2 linked regions of the Cricetulus griseus genome follow. The protein of the gene in region 2 interacts with the protein of the main gene of each other region in a biochemical or structural test. Links are inferred from orthologs where the notes say so. Each region holds a gene or a part of one and is shown on either strand. Other genes may lie near its edges.

Region 1 (3,653 bases), about 23 Mb from region 2:
TTAAGTACTGTTCAAATAATGAAACAAATGAAATGTACAGGAACACAGACAGGGTAGCTGAGGAAAGGTTCCCCACAGGTACCCTGAGACGTAAAGACATTGTTTTGCAGGGGCACATCTAGGTATATTCTCCTTGACTGGCTGGGTGTGGTAGCACACACCTATAATCCCCAAACTTGAGGTAGATGCAGGAGGATCAGGAGCTCAAGGTCACCTTCAGCTAAATAGTGAATTCCATGCCAGCCTGGGCTACATAAGATCCTAACTTCAAAAGCGGGTCGGGGTGGGGGTAGGGGGTGACAGATGGCTCAGCAGGTAAAGGCATGGGTCATATAAGCGTGATGATCTGAGTTTTAATGTCGAAACGCACACACAATGGTAGAAGGAGGGGACCAACTCTAGAGTTGTCATCTTACCCACACATGTACAGCTAAGGTATGCATGCCTCCACAACACACACCAATATTTCTTTTAAAGTTAACACTCTTTCTGTGCCAAAAGGGTGAAAAACAGGCTATCACTTTAGATAATGGTGGGGGTTTTCCATTATAATAAAACCAGTGACCCTTCTTCCTTCCTTCCCTTCCCTTCCCTTCCCTTCCCTTCCTTTTTTTGAGACAAAGTCTCTCTTCTCTATCTTTATGTAGCCCTGGCTATCCTGAAACTCACCATGTCAGCTGGCCTCAAGCTCACAGAGGTTTACCCGCCTCTGCCTCCCGAGTACTGGGACTAAATGTGTGTGCCATCACACCTGCTGACTATCTAATACTTAGATGTGTATTTTTACTATGTTGTATATAAAACACTTAACATATTAGCAGTGTCATACATTGAGACACAAACCCGACATTTTCTGGAGATAAAATTATGTGACCAAAGTCTACAGACAATAGTCCTGGATGAGCCTTTGGATGTCTGTAAGAAGTAGCTGGAAAAATGCCAGGTAAGGACCTTCCAGGGACAATGAGATGGGGACACCCAATGCTGTGAATTGGGAGAAGGTAGACTATGACCATTAATTGTACAAATGGATTTTAAGTGGTGGCAAGAACATGAAATTTCTGAAAAAATATACACAGAAGAATCAATGGGATTTGGTTTACACATCTGAAGGCACTGGGTGTAATGATTTCACTAGACCCATGATAAATGATAAATGGGTGTTTATTGGGGACACTTACACAGAAAGATATAAAGAACCATGGAAGCACTTCTCTCCCCTTCCCTCCAGATCAGCTGACCCAAGAGAAAAGATCTGTGCAAGAGAGACCACACTTTAGCTTCCCTCTTTCTGCTTTAGTCTGCCTGAAGCCACACCCAAAGGGGTGTGGCCACCATTTCAGGTTGACAGGCAAGACACTGACTGCTACACACATCTATGGTACTTTGAGAAATAGTCTCTAATACCAAACTACTTTTAAGGTATGTATTTCAGACTATCATGAGCAAGTTTGTAGGAAATGACTTGAAAATCAATTTTCCTATCATCCAAACATCCAAATCATCATTTCTTGTGTCTGTTTTTTTTTTTTTTTTTCTTATAGATTCTCAAAATAAAAGGTGGGAGAAGCTAACACAGGGAAAATTCACACAGCAATTAAGTACTCAAGACTGTTCCTGATTGACTGCTCCCTTCCCACTGCTGTACCCCTATATGGAATGGAAACAGTGGCAGGTCAAGGCAGCACAAGAGAACACAGCCAAACAGACGAGGAGCCTGTGCCAGGGCCGCCTTCTCCTTTGTACTGATTCGATAGGGGAGTGCTTGCAGGAGGGACACACATCTTTTTATGGCTCGAAATTGCTTTCTCAGTGAGATGGTAAGGTAGGTGCAATCCAGCAGGCTTAAGGGAGTTGGTTTTTGTTCTATGGGTATTAAGACTCACCATTCTCGTGAGGCAAAGCGATTTAAATAAAAACAGGAAACCACTTTCACCATCTCTTGAGCCTCCTATAGTTCTAAAGAAAATAGTTTTACAAATGCAGAGGAAAGATCTGTTTCCTGATAGTCTCTAGGTATCTCAAAAGTGCTCCTTAGCATTTGTTATATGACTGGGACAGTGTCAGATCTTACCCTAGGGCTTATGTCTTACAAGAATTGTTTCAATCCTCAAAGCATCAGGAAACTAAAGTGTAGAGGAGTAGGTTAACTCCCAGCCACAGAAAGTGGCAGAACCAAGAATCTAAATGGAGGTCAGAAGATAATGGCAGTCACGAGGATCCCTCCACAGAACAAGTCAAAGTACTGGCGCATAGTGAAGCTGATGATACTCAACTGAAACCACCAGGGCCAAGTGTGGGCCTTTATTGGTGGGGATGTGGGTTAATTATTTACTGGAACATAGCCTCTGCCCATTCATTTACCCACTGGGTTGCTTATCCTAAAACAGCAGCACAGCATCTGTATCCAATAGAGATAGCATAGCCACAAAGTCAAAACTATATACCATCTGGTCTCCTACTGACCCTGCAGTAACCCGTTTTTTTTTTTTTTTTTTTCTTAATAAGTCCTGACCAGCTCAGGATTAGAAAGTCAAACAAAACCAGCTTCTTCTCTAGAAAGCATTTTCAACTGCAAGATCTCAGACTAATCAGGAAGCTACCGAGATTAGAAGGCGATGAGAGTGATCACATTGGAGTCTCACTGCTACACTGTTCACTTTGTCAACACCTTTGAAGCACAGTTTCAGTGCTAAGCCACTTACTGCAGTGCTGGAGCTAAAAGATCAGGTGTGTTAAAACGTTAGGGTCTAGTCTCTACTAGGAAGAAGATCCAAAGAGAAAAGAAGAGATCTTGGGGATAGGGATGAGGAGAAAGTAATGAAATATATACCACAAGAAAGCAGAAGTGGGGCCATCTGAGGAAAGGAAGGGAAGTAGGGTCAGGGAACAAGGAGTGGGGCAGTGGGGAAAGGGGAATAATGGAAACAAATATAAAACACCCATTTATCAATATGACTTCAGATTTATCAATTTGTCTGCTAACCTAAAAAATTAATGAAAATAATCAATGCAGAAAAATAAACTAATATTATTCAAATAAAAAAGTATAGATTTCTTTCTTGGGATGGTTGGTGGGAAAAAAATGAGGTATTATTTTCCAAGTGATCCTGATGGTCATGTTAACTAATAGAAACTTGTATTCAGGCCTATTAACTTGCAAATGCTTACATGTGCCTCTACTAATTTAAACACCAGCATTTTCATCTAACAATATTTGCAAGCATGACAAATTCAAAACTGTACAGACTGCAAAGCTTTCCTGTGTGTGGAGTTTGTGTGTACACACGTGTTTAATCTGGGTAGTCATTTCAGATATGTTCTGAGTAGCCATGGGATACAGAGAGGCTCATGATGCACAAAGATAATCTTACAAGGAGCCTTCCTTGCACTGGGCAGCTCCACCCACCTGAGTGCCCAGAGCCTGGATATCATGCTCAAAGGTGGTGTGCATTCTCTGTAGGGTCTCCACAGTGTTCTGATCTCGTCCAAGCTCCTCAGGGAGTTTCTTGTGTTTGTCCTGGATGCGGCCAAAGATCTCCTTGGCATCATGGTAAAACTTATGCAGTTCATAGGAGGCAGCAAGAATCTGTGTTCTCGTGTCAATGAGCTCCAGGAGGTCAGCCCAGGCTTCATTGAGACCATCTTTCCAC
Region 2 (3,653 bases):
CTGGGAGTAAGAGAACAGTTCCAAGTCACAGTGCTGCAGACACCCAAGAACGGACAGTTTCTGAAGGCTCACTCTCCTCTGGGGATCCTTCTAGTGTCTTCACTTTAGGTAGCCTGGGTCATTCTCGTTGTCTGCTGCCCCCTGTCCTAAACTAACTGCAGAATTAAAAGCTGTACTCCTTGAAACAAATTCCAATAGGGAATACAAATTACAAAACCCAAATTCAGTCTCCATGACTTCACATGGCTCTGTTCTATGACTGGCAGTTCTCCACATAGTTCCCCCTTCCCCAAAGCAGTGGCCCAGAAAAAAACAGCTCTCTCATCTGTTCAGATGAGCCACCTTGACACTGTTAGTCCCTATGGCCCCTTCACACAATTTCATCCACAATAGCGCACTCAGAATTTCACTGCAGGAAGCTGCAGTGGCTTTGCATAGTCTTGTACAGCCCCATGTGGAGGCAACTCAGAGCCAGGCAGGAACACAAACCCCACCCTTACAGAAACAGTACAAAGCCTCTACTGCCACCCCCAGCCTTCTGGATCACAGTGTTAATTGGGCCACCTGCCAAGCTTAATAAGGGACCAAGACTAAAGACAGCACAGTTCTCCGTGACTCCAGGGCACTGAGTTCAGAAAGCAGGAGCCAGAAGTGACCAAGGTACTATTTTCTGCCTTAGATAACAAAATCATGTTTAATTACTCTTTCTGGCTTCAATCTCACCCAAACTCTAGTACTACAAGGCCACCCTTTCTAAGTATGAGCTCCCTAAGCACCCTGTAATTGAAAGAATCATGCAAAATAGATAAGCTTTAAGTTCTTTGAGTTTCCTCTTGACCTCAGTGAACAGTCGGCAATCTGTTCTTCAATTCCCACTAAAATATAATTTCTATTATTCTCTTTTTGAAAAAAAAAAAAAAAAAAAAAAAAAGACCTGGCTGTCCCCAGTTCCCAGCCTTGTACTTTTCATGAGACTTTTACCCTAAATAATACTGACTTCCTGTTTTCAAAGCAGGTTATGACTTACGAAGATTTCCAGGTGCAATCTGTCCTCTGAAAAGAGGCATCACCAGTTCCACTTGACAGATGAGAAAACTGAGTCACACAGACAAAAGATTTAGCTGTAAGATCACCATGTTCCACTGGATGCATTTGCACTATTCCCTTCTAGGGTCCAGGGGCCTTCACTCGCCTTGCTGCCTTTAGATCTCTAACTTCTAAACTTTCCTCTGCTGAAAGTGAGGTCAAAGAGTGTGCTTCTTAAAGTCATCACTACACCCCCATGCTAGCTTAGTAGCATTTTGTTGTTGTCCAAAAGAACCTATACCATCATCCCTAACGCATTAAAAAAAAAACACTGATGGCCCATGTCCCAGAAAGCAAACAGAGGGCAAGCTCATAGAGCAATGGCTCAAACTGCGCATTTCTCTCTAAAGCCTGGTGCTGGGAGCCAGCCTCTCTGGGCTTCCCAAATCAGAGAACACCACACAGACTAATTATTACACCTCTGAGCTTACAAGTCCTGAGGGGAGCCAACTGTAGCTGTAGCTACTCTATCAAACACATCATCCCAAACCACAATTGATATTCTCAGCAGCAAGGCTCAAATTAGCTGTGGATTTCAGTGAGCAGAGGAGTCTGTGAGCAGAAAACATCGATGCAGCTAGTCCAGTCTACTGATAGATGCTGCTAGCACCTCCTGCAGAGGGCCAGTCATGTATGCCTAGGTTGACCTGCAGTGAGGAAATGCAGCAGGAACCTAATCAACATTCTACAACATGCCCTGAATGCCACCTTGTATTCTATCACCATCTAATTAGGAGGGCACTGACCTGGTAGAGGAGACAGACATAAAAAAGGACAGAAAGACAAAACCATGCCTGGCTACCTTGTCCCAAGTCTGTGATAAGTATAGAAATGATAAAGATCTTTTGTTTTTAAATATGCTATTAGAATTTAGTATTAATTTCCTTTAAAATTTTTATTATGTTTATTTGTGTCTGTAAGTGTACATATAGCAGTCAGAAGACAACTTGTAGAAGTGAGTTTTCTCCTTCTATCATGTGACTCCTGGCTATCTAACTAAGGTTGTCAGGTTTGGTGGCAATTACCCTTACCCACTGAGCCATCTCACCAGCCATGTGCTTATTTCCATAGCTGACACCCCATTATCTGGGCATTAGCTAAAAAAAAGATAAAACAGGAAGGAAATAAGAGCAGATACATCTATTACCAGGCTGACAGCAGCCATCCCTTATCTCATAGGCCAAGACTGACCAAAAGCAATACCAATTAAAACAAGGTCTTTAGGCCAAGTGTGGTGGAACACGCCTTTAATTCCAGCACTTGGGAGGCAGAGGCAGGAAGTTTTCTGTGAGTTTGAGGCCAGCCTCGTTTATGGAGCAAGTTCTGGGACAGCTAGAGCTGTTACACAGAGAAACCCTGTCTCGAAAAAAACCAAAAAATAAAACAAACAAAAAAGCCAAACCAAAACAACACAAGATCTTTGGTTATTATTATTCATTATTGTGTGTTTGAGTGAATGCATGAAATGTGTGGTACATGTCCTATGGTACAAGTGTGGATATCAGAGGACAACTCTGGAGTCCGTTCTCTTTCCATTTTCCACCAACGCCCGGCCAAAGTAGATAGATGTTCTTAAAGAATGATAATAAAGGTTGATCTGTGGCCTCCAAAATCAAGAGCACAAATACATATATACACAAACCACATGAAAGGAACAGAACCTGAAGTCTTACCTGCTTTCTTGCCTTCTCCTCCCTGGCCTGGGCTTTCATCTGCTGAACTTCTAAAGAGTCAGCCTTCCTTCTCCTCATAAATAGGTCATGGTTCCCAATACACAGCTGGAGAATCTGTAGCCACAGAAATAGAAAACATGTTAAGTGTATACACTTACTTTGCTGCCTACCAGCCCACCATGCCAGCATCTTGGGCTCTGTGAGCAGCAGTAAACCAAGGAAGAAAGAGTGGATAAAGCACAAAAGCCCTGCTAATGTCTTCTAATGCTCTCAGTTCTGGAAACATGTATGATGAAGGTGTCTCAGACAAACCAGGAGATCACAAGTGAAGAGAGGACACTGCATTAGTTAACCAAATGTACCACAGTCTCCTAAGTCAAGATGTGGCAGGATAGATAGGGGGACATGGAAGACCAACCAGGAAGTTGGGTTGGGTTAAAGGTCATTCATGTGGAAAGAAATAAGCTCTCCTTCTCCCTCATACCAAAAAGCTGATTCCAGTTTAAAAGGTAATTTGAAAATATAGAGTATTTTTTAATCAGGAAAAAGATGTCAAGTAAAAAAACACAGAACAACAAATAATTGAGGATTGGTTTTTTTTTTTTTGGTGGGGGGCATTCTGGGTCACAGCCCTGGATGTCCTGGAACTTGCTTTGTATACTAGGCTAGCCTCGAACTCACAGAGTTCAGCCTACCTCTATATCCCAAGTGCTGGGACTAAAGGCATGCACCACCACTGCCTGGCTATGACCAAATATTTTATGTGTTGACATGAAAGGTGAAAATTTTTATTTGCTATAACATCATAAAGAAGGAAAATGAGCCTCACAAGGAGGATAATAATTAATAAAGAAAACAAACAAACAACCCAAGAGGAAAGTGGCCAAAAGACAT

Evidence for each region.
Region 1: the proteins of Nf2 (region 2) and Sptbn1 form a complex in vitro, tested with the Homo sapiens proteins (2 studies listed by BioGRID and IntAct). The link is inferred for Cricetulus griseus from reciprocal best matches to the Homo sapiens genes NF2 and SPTBN1.

Annotation. Positions count from the first base shown.
Region 1 is NW_023276807.1:77,212,428-77,216,080, reverse strand, and holds part of Sptbn1 (spectrin beta chain, non-erythrocytic 1), read right to left. Parts: coding exon 3,410-3,653; intron 1-3,409. UniProt on the Homo sapiens protein: Fodrin, which seems to be involved in secretion, interacts with calmodulin in a calcium-dependent manner and is thus candidate for the calcium-dependent movement of the cytoskeleton at the membrane.
Region 2 is NW_023276807.1:100,111,719-100,115,371, reverse strand, and holds part of Nf2 (merlin), read right to left. Parts: intron 2,874-3,653; coding exon 2,760-2,873; intron 1-2,759. UniProt on the Homo sapiens protein: Probable regulator of the Hippo/SWH (Sav/Wts/Hpo) signaling pathway, a signaling pathway that plays a pivotal role in tumor suppression by restricting proliferation and promoting apoptosis.